Canis lupus familiaris: one gene and its partners. The protein of the gene in region 1 interacts with the protein of each later gene in a pairwise test. Links are inferred from orthologs where the notes say so. Each region holds a gene or a part of one and is shown on either strand. Other genes may lie near its edges. The genes, in order: GFAP, TRIM27 and ZC2HC1C.

Region 1 (3,711 bases):
TTGCTGGATGCCATGGCCTCGTACTGCGTACGGATTTCTCTTAGGGCTGCTGTGAGGTCCGGTTTGGCCACATCCAGCTCCACATGGACCTGCTGCCGGGCCAGCTGCTCCTGGAGCTCCTGCACCTCCTGGCCAGGAGAGAAGGGATGCCAGGGCTTGGGGCCTAGGCTGCAACTGGCATTTCCCCACAATATCATGCCCTTGCCTGCCTGCCCCTTGGACATTGATGTTAGCTAAGGGAAATTGGGCAGTCCTATTAGAGGAAGTGGCATGGCCCAGGCCAGGGGAGGCAGAGGGTAGTTTGGGGGCCTCATGGTGTCCTCCTCCCAGGTTCCACCAGGCAGGAGCACTGAAAGTGTGCCTGTGTTCTTATGGAGAGCAACTGAGTCCCTGTGGTGTGGGTGTGTCTGCAGGGTCCCAGGTTCCATGGCATCATAGATTATGAATCTATAATCTGAAGTCAGATCTCAGTGGTGTCTTTTTAAAATGAGTGGCTCGGGCAGCCCTGGTGGCGCAGCGGTTTAGCGCCGCTTGCAGCCCGGGGTGTGATCCTGGAGACCCTGGATCAAGTCCCACATCAGGCTCTCTGTATGATGCCTGCTTCTCCCTCTGCCTGTGTCTCTACCTCTCTTGCGCCCTCTCTGAATAAATAAATCTTAAAAATAAATAAATAAATAAAATAAATAAATAAATAAAAATAAAATGAGTGGCTCGCATTTAAATGGAGACAGGTGGCAGTGGGGGTGATGTCAGAGAGACTATGTGACCTCAGCAAGTCACATATCTGGGCTTCGGCGTCCTCCTCTGTGAAAAGGAAATAATACCGGAAGGGTTCCTATCACACAGGGCTGTTGTGAAATAAAAAATGGGGTGGGGCACCTGGGTGGCTCAGTGGTTGAGCGTCTGCCTTTGGCTCAGGTCTTAATCCTGGGGTCCTGGAATCGAGTCCCACATCATGCTCCCCATAGGGAACCTGCCTCTCCCTTTGCCTATGTCTCTGCCTCTCTATGTCTCTCATGAAGAAATAAAATCTTTAAAAAAAAGGAGGGGGGGGCAACAAGTTCTGTTATAATTCTTAGTAAGTGGTGTGTGTCTATGGATTTCATCAGGGGCTAAGGATGCTCTCTTATCTCTCTGTCTGTCTCCCCTATGCTTATTTTCTTTCTGTCTGTCTCTGTCTCTCTATCCATTTCAATCTCTCTGAGGGCCTTACCTCATCGTGGATCTTCCTCAAAAACCGGATTTCCTCCTCTAGAGACTCAATCTTCCTCTCCAGATCCAGACGGGCTAAGGTGGCTTCATCTGCCTCCTGGAGCAGGGAGGGACGAAAGGCTGCTCTGACCCCAGACTCCTTCTCCCCACTCCCATGTCTTGTCTGGTCCCTCCTTCTGTGGCTGGGGAGAGCAGCACATTGCTCTGGAGGGCTGGGCTTAGGGGCTGTGTGAGTGAGCTGCCATCAACTCTTTACCCCCCTCCCCCATCCCTCCCCTCCACCCCCCTCACCTGTCGATAACTGGCCAGGTTGTTCTCAGCCTCCAGCCTCAGGTTGGTTTCATCCTGGAACCTGGGGTAGGGGGACACATTCCCGGGTGTCTGCCCCAATCTCCCTGGAGGTGGCTGCCAGAGAGACCCCCACCCCTACCCCTAGGCCCAGTGGAATGACAGGAGGAGTGAAGGGCAGAGGGTCCCAGACAGAGCCTTGGCCAGGAGGGTGAGCAGATAAGGGCCTGTGCTTTAACTCATTACTAAAGTGCTTTATCAAGGTTGGTGCACCTGCTCCTGCTCACACAGGCACTTTCACCAACATACACTCACTGCTGCATGCACACTCATCTTCCTGTACTTGAGGGCACACATGCCTGCCCTGCCAGCTCAGCAAAACGCCACGTCCCTGGGGTTTCCTCTGACCTTTGGAAATAGGTTTATTAGAATCTCTACTTCACAGCACTGCAAGCTAAAGTGGCTTGACCAGGATCATAAGCTGGTGACAGGCAGTATCACCTGTGTTTCCAAGCCAGGCTCACCTGCTCTTTTCCTCACCTCCTCCTTTGCCCCAGAGCCCCGTCCTCCTAGTGAACACCAATCTTCCCTTCCCATTTCTCCACTCCACGGGCTCTGCAAGGGCACCAGGCCCAGCGGCAGCGAATGAAACATGAAGACCCTGCCTATGGGGGTCCCTGACTGTTCCCACATGGCTTTCCCCAAAGGGGAGGTGCTGAGAGCACCGTGGCTCCTCTGCAAGAGGTCTTTGGGAGTCAGATCCTTGGGACTCGGCCTCCTCCCAGTCCCTCTCATCTTGGGGAGCAAGGACAGCCCTCCCCTCCCGGAGATGGGTAAACAGAGGAGCCAAGGATCACAGAGTCAGAGGCTCCGCCTGAGGTCCTGGGCCTGCGAGGGGCGGGCGTCTTCCCTGCTCCGGAGGTCCCTCACCCCGGGCCCCCTCCTCACTTCTGCCTCAGGGTGCCCAGGTCCTGTGCCAGATTGTCTCTCTCGACCTCCAGCCGGGCGCTGTTGGCAGTGAGTTGGTCTAGCCGCAGCCTTAGCTCTCGCAGCTCGGCCTGGTAGACGTCGGCCAGCTTGGTGGGCTCCTTGGCCCGCAGTTGGTTCAGCTCAGCAGCCAGAGCCTTGTTCTGCTGTTCCAGGAAGCGCACCTTCTCGATGTAGCTGGCAAAGCGGTCGTTGAGCTCCATCATCTCGGCGCGCTCGCTGGCCCGTGTCTCCTTGAAGCCGGCGTTGAGCGCCGCGGCCAGCGAGAAGTCCACCCGGGTTGGCGGCAGCGGCATCCGAGCCACGGAGGGGCGGGGGCCCGGCCCCAGACGGCGGCCGGAGCCCGGGCCTCCCCCCGCCATGTCCCACGAGGAGACGTAGACGTAGGAGCGGCGAGCGGCCGAGGCGACCCGTCTCCTCTCCATGCTGGCCCTGCCCGCTCCCGGGAAGTGAGGGCTTTATGGAGGCGAGGGCTTGCCTGGCACGGCCCCGGCTGCCCCTGGCAACGCCCCCTGGCATGGCCTGAGGGGGAGGGGCTGGGCCGCAGCTCCGGGGGGGCTCCTCTCACCCCACCGAGGTCACTGTGCCCAGGGGCTGGGCCTCGTGGGCACGCCAACCCCAGCCGGGTCACAGACAGAGGTGCTGGTGGGCGATGCCTGGGGCCTGATGCTCCATCTGCGGCCCTGACCACTTAGGCAAGGAGGCCCTTTCTCTGGGAAGTTGGGCCAAGAAAGGGCTGGATTAGATGACCTCTGACCCGCTTTCCACCGCTTTCCACCTCTTAGATCCCATAAAGCAGGCCTTCCCGGCTCAGCACTCCTCCTAGTGCCTGCTAAGTGCTGGAATTTGCGAACAGCAAATGTGTTCCATACTCTCAAGAAGCAGCCCGTGTTACAGTGCTGAGCCCCGATCCTAGTGGACTGTTGGACTTCTCTGCTCTGAACATAGGCGTCCTGCATTCCTGCTTTCTCCCCCTTCCCCGGAGGTCTGGGGCTGTGGGCTGGAACTGGATACCAGCCCTTTGTCTAGAGGGTCATTTGAGGCCTCTGTCCAGCAGGGGGTGGGGGGTGAAGGAAGGGACATAGAAGTTTTGAAGGGGCAAGAAGGGCAGGTGTTGGACTCCCTGGCCTTCTCCCTGGACCACACTTAAGCCCCTGCCTCTGTCCCACCAAGTTCACTTCCCCTGTGCCTGGCCTCTCTGTACCCCTGCCTAGAGCCCGGTCT
Region 2 (3,647 bases), on another chromosome or scaffold:
TCCAGAAGCGCTGGGTCTTTTTCAGCTTTACTTTTCTGTTTCTGAGGTTGCACTGTGTCATTTATGCCTTTGAAAGACTTTAGGTAAGGAGAGGTGAGACCTTACCAAAAGGATGCGAAATAGGTTTGTGTTCACTCCTCAGTGTGTTGCACAGAGAGTGCTTAGGAAGGTGGTGAGAAGAGTGGGTCATGGGAAAGGTTCTCAGGAAGAGTGGAGCTCAGGACAGGTGTCAACAAACATCTGTAAAGGGCCACATAGTCAGGATTTTTGACTCCGTGGGCCACTTAGTCTATGTCACAACTACTCAACTCTGTCGTGACAGCTGAAGGCAGCATAATATAATATGTGAATGATGGGTGTGGCTGGGCCCCAGGAAAACTTAATTCCCCAGGAGTAAACAAAGGGAGCTTGCTGACACTTTGTTTAGCAGAGAGCCTCAGGGTTTTGGCAGTGGGAGGTAGATAGAGAAGGAAGGGTAGACTAGTTTTGGCAAACATCTGTTCCAGAAGGGCACCACACCCATAGCCAATGAGGGTAGGTGATGAACAGCCCTGGTGGCCAGAAAGGGGGTGAGGGCCGCACGGGAAGGGCCTTGGTGACGTGGTTGCAGTCATGATGCGAGGATTGAGTGTCCTAGTCCACCCCACATGGCATATATCTGAACCCAGTCACTTCCCTTTCACGGCTCCTAGTTGCAGGAAAGTCTTGCCCCACCCTGGCCTTCCAGGCAAGGTGTGTTCTCTCTTACCTCTTCTGGCTTCTCCCTCAAAACTTAGGTGCTTTGCCAGACACCATCGTTCACCATCTCTCCCGTCGTTTCTTCTGCCAGGAAAGCGTGTCTACCCTTTGACCACATGGTGAACCCCTGTTTCTCCAACCACACTGTGTGTGTTACATTGCCTCTGTGAAGGCTGTACCAGCTTCTCCCACTGCAGGCCATCCTGTCCTCACTACCTGTGGTTGCATGTGTCATGTGAACCGGGCTCTCCTGTGACTATATTCCTTATTTCTGGGGTAACTCACTTCTCAGCCATTGTGTCTAGTCGGTAAAGCCTGAGACCAGGAGTGAATGAACAGGATGCTTGTTTTAGCATGCCGGGACAAGATGATGAGGTCTCAGGGTAGGTAGTCAGGGACAGACATGAAGGGCTCTAGAAGGGAGCCTTCTGTCCTTCAGTACCCTCCCCTGTCATCTACGCAGAGCCTGACCCAGATGGAGAGGGAGAAGATTGTCTGGGAGTTTGAGCAGCTCTATCACTCCTTGAAGGAACATGAGTATCGCCTCCTGGCCCGCCTTGAGGAGCTAGACTTGGCCATCTACAACAGCATCAACGGTGCCATCACCCAGTTCTCCTGCAACATCTCCCACTTGAGTAGCCTGATTGCCCAGCTAGAAGAGAAGCAGCAGCAGCCCACCAGGGAGCTCCTGCAGGTAAGGCATGGAGGTGTGGAGTGTCCCACCAACGTGGCTCCTGCCAAAAAGTCTCCCTTCCCTCTTTGCTAGGCAGTATGGAGCACCTCCCCCTCCCCGCCCCGGTCAACTCTAGGAGTAACAAGCCCTAGCTCAGCTCTCTGGGCTTGTCAGAGAGAAAACATGCATAACAGAAGTTCCAGTTGACACAACTTGGATCGGTCAGTTGCATTGTCTCACGGGAAGGGCAAGAGGAAGACCTAATGCCTAGGCCTGTCCTGTACCCACACGTGGTCTGATCACACTCTTGACCTCTCTGGGCCTCAGTGACCTGATCTACTCCTGGTGTAATGGGAGGTTCAGCCTACATGCCATTTAAAGATTTGAGTAAAGATACTCAGTGAAATGTCCTGTAATTTTAACATATATGTGTACATTAGCACAGCCACAAAACTGAGCACTGGAGCAGGTGGTTGGCCCAAGCGGTCCCTGTGATTTAAGCTGGGTGTAGTTACAAAGCTGCATTGACCTAACCTGGCAAGGCCACAGGAAATGTGCTGTTGTTCATTGAGTGCATATGAATTGTCTTTTCTGGGTCCGGCAGTATTCTGGGCACTGGGATTAAGTGGTGAAAAGCTGTCCTGAAATGTATATTCTAATGTCAGAGTCAGGTACTAAAGAGAACAGCAGGGATCCCTAGGTGGCGCAGCGGTTTGGCGCCTGCCTTCGGCCTAGGGCGCGATCCTGGAGACCCGGGATCGAATCCCACGTCGGGCTCCCGGTGCATGGAGCCTGCTTCTCCCTCTGCCTGTGTCTCTGCCTCTCTCTCTCTCTCTGTGACTATCATAAATAAATAAAAAAAAAAAATAAAAAAAAAAAAAATAAAGAGAACAGTGGGTGTAATGGGTGTTCATAAATGCCATTAAAAGGGATGATGGCATAGGGCACAGGTCAGCAAACCACTCCACCACCTGTTTTTGTATGTCCTTCAGGCTAAGTGGTTTTTACAGTTTGGGAGGGGTTTTTTTTTGTTTGTTTTTTAATAGGAAGAGTGGAGGAAGAGGGGAAGAGAGAATTTTTTTTAAAGATGTTATTTATTCATTCATTCACTCACGAGAGTGAGAGAGAGAGGGAGAAGCAGGTGCATCGCAGGGAGCCCGATGCGGGACTCGATTGCCAGACTGGGATCACACCTTGAGCCGAAGGCTGAGGCTCAACTGCTGAGCCACCCAGGTGTCCTGGGAAGAGAGAACCTTAAGTAGGCTTTATACTCAGTGCAGAAACTATTGTGGGACTTAGTCTCATGACCCGGAGATCATGACCTGAGCCAAAATCAAGAGTCAGACACTTCACCAACTTAGCCACCCAAGGCCCCCTGGTTTTTACAGTTTTAAACGTTTGGAGAAAATCTGAAGATTTTATTTCATGGTATATGAAATTCTATAAAACTCAAACTTTGTTGTCTGCATTTTATTGGCACTTAGCCACTTGGATTCCTGTACATACTGTGTGCATTGTTACTTTCCCACTGCCACAGCAGAGCAGAGTTAAAAACCCAAAATATGTACTATTTGGCTTTTCAGAAAAAGTTTGTTGAGTCCTGCTTTAGACTAATAAGAAGGCCTAGCCTTGAGCCTTAATGACCACCAGTATTTAATTGCCAGGGAGGAAAGGAGGAGTTTGCAAAGTGAACACTTGATCAGAGAAGCAGAAAGTGACCAGGAAGGAGGAGTGGACAGCAGAGTCTCATGCAGTTAAGGGCTGACACGCATTTGGTTTAAAGCCACGGGCATTGCTAATGCCCTCAGAGAGAAGTGCCACAGTAAACACTTAACACTTCCCTAAGGAACCATCCTAGGGACAGTGGTGACTGGCAGGGTGTGTGACCACTGTAGGAATGGGTGTCTGGGTTAAGGGGTAAGACCATAAGGAGAGGTGGGGATTGTGGGACTTTGTGGGAAGGGATGCTTAAAGAAACAAACTAAACATATTGTCAGAGATCATGTGGGAGGAGAGTCTGTTGTAAGGATCTGGGTGAGGAAAGTCATTGAAGCTGTAAAATTAATGAACTTATCACTAATGTCTGTGTCAGAAAAGATGGAAGGGAAAGGGGACTAAGCACATGTATAGGATGTAGTTTTGGAAGATCTTTGGGAAGAGAGGAGGGTGGGGGGGAGGTGGGGATGCAGGCAGGTTGAGGTTTGGTAGCAAAAACATGGTAGCTTTTATTGTCTTG
Region 3 (3,747 bases), on another chromosome or scaffold:
TGGAGGGGTAACGTGATGGAGTCAAGTCCAGGAGGGTACAGAAAGGGACTGATTCAACAGACCACAAGGAAAGAGAAAGATTTTCTTTTTCCTCAGACACCAGAGGGAAGGAATTCAGGATGAAGGGAGGCACTCTGGGCAATTCAGCCAGACTGGAGGGGAGCTGCAGGAGTTGATGACAGGCAGGCCAGATGCTGACATAATTAGGGCCTGGAGTGTAGCGGGAAATGTCTGAAACTGCAGAGAGAGAAGGCAGTTGAGTCAGCTATGAAAGAAAATAAGGAATCAAAGGACTGGCCCGGAGGAGGGCCCACCAAGGAATGTCTCTGTAACATGTAAAGCTGTAATAATGACATGCTGAAGCATCAACACCGACTACTGCTGTCCATTTTATGTCCCAAGTGCATGAATCTTTTTGAGTAGTTACAGGAAAAAAGTAAACCGCCTGTTCCAAACATCTTACACAAACGAACTAAAGCATGAAGACAAATAAACCCCTTTCTAATGTTAACAAGTCACAGAATGTCGTTCAGCGCTGAGGACCAGGTTACACCGATCATTTTCAATCCGGTAGTTAACTTTATTATCGTTACACTTGGCTGAGTCACCGTTGGGCCTCACGAAGAGACGGGCCAGGGTTACCACGTGAGAGCAAAACATCATATCAAAATAATTAGATTGGCTACGAAAACTACCTCGGAAAAGACCCTGGGCGGCACAACTTCGCCGAGCAGCTGACGTCCGACCGCAAGCTCCCAACTGCGGGCTGGGACGGGCGGGAGGGGCCGCACACCCGGGGCCCGCACGGGGCAGCCGAGCGCGCTGAGCAAGGCGACCAGCAGGCCCCCTGCCGCCGGCCGGGCGGACGCCGCAGGCCTGCACCGCGACTCCCGGGCCCTTCCCGGGGCTCCGACTCTTGCCAGAGAAGGGCACGCCCCAGGGGCTGGGAGCATCGTTCTCAGAAAAACACACGTTCTTTGATGGAGCCCCAGAAACGCCTCTCCCGCCCCCTCTCCCGTTCCCCAAGGGCAGGGCGGGACGGAGCCACGGAGTCGGCGGGACACCGGGTCAAGGGACACTCGCCCTGGCCACACCCCCGTCGCGGGCGCCTCGGGGCCGTGCGCGGGGCTGGGTGCGCACGCGCTCGCGTCTCCAGGCAACGGGAACAACAAAGGCCCGCGCAGAGCGCCTGCGCGGCGGGCGGTTGAGGCTCGGCCCGGGGGCGGTCGGGGGTGGAAAGCTAAGTCTTGGGTGGGTTTATTTATTTATTTTTTTTCTTTTCCCCTGAGCAGGAACGGTCCGCCAGAGCCTCAGGTAGGCGTAAGCAGACGAGGGGAGCAGACGTAGGGTCAGCGCCTCGCCTCCCAAGGGCGGCCGCATGGGCAGAAGAGCGAGGGCTGTGTTCCCCAAGCGGAGGCCCCAGCGGGGGCGCCCCTGCTGCGGACTCTGGGGCGGTGCGTGAGCTCAGCACCCGTGCGGCGGGCGGCGCGGCGGCCGGGTCAGGTGGCCTCCAGCTCTCAGGTTACGATCCGCGCCGTGGGGATCCTGGGTGCGGGTGTGACGGCCGGGCACCTGCGGCCGGCCCGGGCGGCTCGAGTGTCCTCTGGAGTCCAGCAGCGGGGAAGCCCTGAGAGCGCCTTGTGCGGGCCACCTACCTCCGAGCCGCAGTTTGCTCACCTGTGACACCGTAGGCCCGGACTCAGAGTCCTAAGGTCTTGTAACTCTGAGCGAAACTTCAGTGGATAGGTGAAGAAGCCAGCCAGCAAGGGAAAGTTGCTGGTCCTGTGTCACAGGCCTAAAGCCTGACTTTGAGTCCGACAGCCCTTTCCAGTAAATCTTTCCACCACCTAAGGAGTCTCCTGTGTATGGCAGGAGCATCGCTGTGTATGGCAGAGGCTGGTACTGGAATAAAGCGAGGTGGCGGGAACACCCGTGTCACATTCGTTTTTCTGTCCTCAAGATCTAATAGGCACCCACAGGAAATAATAAGCATTCACCAAATCCTTACTGAAGGAAAGTTCTGGCAGACCCAGCACCACTGTCCCTAAAAAGTTCAAGAGAATAGGTAGGACAAATGTATAAACTGTTTACTTTAGTAGCCGGGGGTAACCTCAGAAAACCTCCTCACAATATATCTGGTTTAAATCTCCCCTAGGCTTCAGTCCGGTCCCTGAATGGCTGGCCTCCAGTTGGCACCACCTCTGCCTGTGGGCGTTATGCTTCCATATAATGAAAGGGAAGCTCCAGGGCTCCTCTCAGCTAAGCAAGAGCCCTATGAAAAAGGTGACTCTTCTCAGCGGTCCTCCATGGGGCACCTGAGGAACAATTTCCAGCAGAAGCTTTTGAGCAACAAAGAGCTGACGCTGGATAATCTCTACACTCACTCCAAATGGAACGCCTGCACAAAAGCTGGGAGCTGCTCCTATCCCCACTGTGTTGGAATCAGCCAGCAAGATTCAAGAAGCGATTCCCAAGGCCAAGCAAAGGGTTCGTTTTACTCAGCAAATTCTCAGTCCTGGTATCCCAAAGCAAATAATCAGGAATTCATCCCCTTTACGAAGAAGCGAGTTGGGGTAGACCGGGCATACCCGCTGAAACCCGTGTTCCATAGGAAGTCTCACAGTACAAGTGAAGCTGGCATTGATGGGGACCAGGATGTCTCTCCGAGACCCCCTGAACCAAGAGAGTTTCCATACAGCAGCTTTGGTTCAAGGAACTGGGTGAATGCATCTGTGCTCCATGCCATTGCTGCCACACAGGAGGAGAGAGCCATGGCAAACCCCAACAGGACCGAATGGATGCAGATCCAAAGACTAGAAGCTGCAGGGGAGAGCTTACAAGAGGAAATCCGGAGAAAAGAAACCCTCCTTAGGGAAAAGCTGAAGAAGACAGAGGAGGAACTCCGAAGGATCCAGAAAGAAAAGGAACAGGCTAAGGAAAATGAAAAAAGAGAGCTACAGAGAATGACACTCCCCAGGAGGAGAATTAAAGGTAATAGCAACACCACATACAAACCTACCTTCTCCCCAGAATTCGGGTCTGAGGAGGTCTTCAGTAGAGACAGGGGAGAAGATGAACTTTGGGGACAGTCTCAAGAAAATTCTGGTCCATTCCAGTTCTCTGATTACGGAATACAGAAGCTCAAAAGGGAAAGACTGGTGGCAAGCAATAACAGAATCCGAGACCTAGTCTCAGAGTCATCAAAGGAGTTTTCTCAGTCTTCAGAAGGGCCTGGCAGTGTTTTGTGGGGATCCACCAGCAATTCTAGTTTGTCTAGGGGACCAGACTCTTCGGTTTCCAGCTGTTCCACTGAAGACCCCAAACTTGGCGAATGTAGCCACTGTGGACGCAAGTTTCTCTTGGTCAGACTGGAGAGACACTCCAACGTCTGCAGCAGGATGCAGGGTTCCAAGAGGAAAGTGTTTGACTCCTCCAGGGCCCGGGCCAAGGGCACAGAACTAGAGCAGTACCTGAACTGGAAGGGGCCAGCCCCAGTCAAGGTAAAAAGGCCAGGGCCTTATGGATTTGACTTTGGGGATCATTATAAAAGGATGCTAAATCAGTTTTCTTTAGAAAAAAACTCATGTGTCATACAGGGAGAAAGAACATTTATTGATTACTGTGTGCCAGTCACTGTGATAGGAGTTTATCATAAGATCCTCAGCACAACCCTGTGAGGGTTTCGTTGTCTCTTATCAATTCAAAGATCAAATCTCAGAGAGTTTAATTTGCTTGAAATCACAAACA

What was found.
Region 2: the proteins of GFAP (region 1) and TRIM27 interact in binary tests that used the Homo sapiens proteins (3 or more experiments, as listed by UniProt). The two-hybrid records come from large-scale screens. The link is inferred for Canis lupus familiaris from reciprocal best matches to the Homo sapiens genes GFAP and TRIM27.
Region 3: the proteins of GFAP (region 1) and ZC2HC1C interact in binary tests that used the Homo sapiens proteins (3 or more experiments, as listed by UniProt). The link is inferred for Canis lupus familiaris from reciprocal best matches to the Homo sapiens genes GFAP and ZC2HC1C.

The regions. Positions count from the first base shown.
Region 1 is NC_049230.1:18,456,014-18,459,724, reverse strand, and holds the start of GFAP (glial fibrillary acidic protein), read right to left. Parts: upstream 2,939-3,711; 5' UTR 2,913-2,938; coding exon 2,449-2,912; intron 1,565-2,448; coding exon 1,504-1,564; intron 1,310-1,503; coding exon 1,214-1,309; intron 129-1,213; coding exon 1-128.
Region 2 is NC_049256.1:27,401,754-27,405,400, reverse strand, and holds part of TRIM27 (zinc finger protein RFP), read left to right. Parts: intron 1-1,201; coding exon 1,202-1,432; intron 1,433-3,647. UniProt on the Homo sapiens protein: E3 ubiquitin-protein ligase that mediates ubiquitination of various substrates and thereby plays a role in diffent processes including proliferation, innate immunity, apoptosis, immune response or autophagy.
Region 3 is NC_049229.1:48,486,756-48,490,502, forward strand, and holds the start of ZC2HC1C (zinc finger C2HC domain-containing protein 1C), read left to right. Parts: upstream 1-1,163; 5' UTR 1,164-1,251; exon of another isoform or gene 1,252-1,314; intron 1,315-1,395; exon of another isoform or gene 1,396-2,065; intron 2,066-2,155; 5' UTR 2,156-2,174; coding exon 2,175-3,500; intron 3,501-3,747.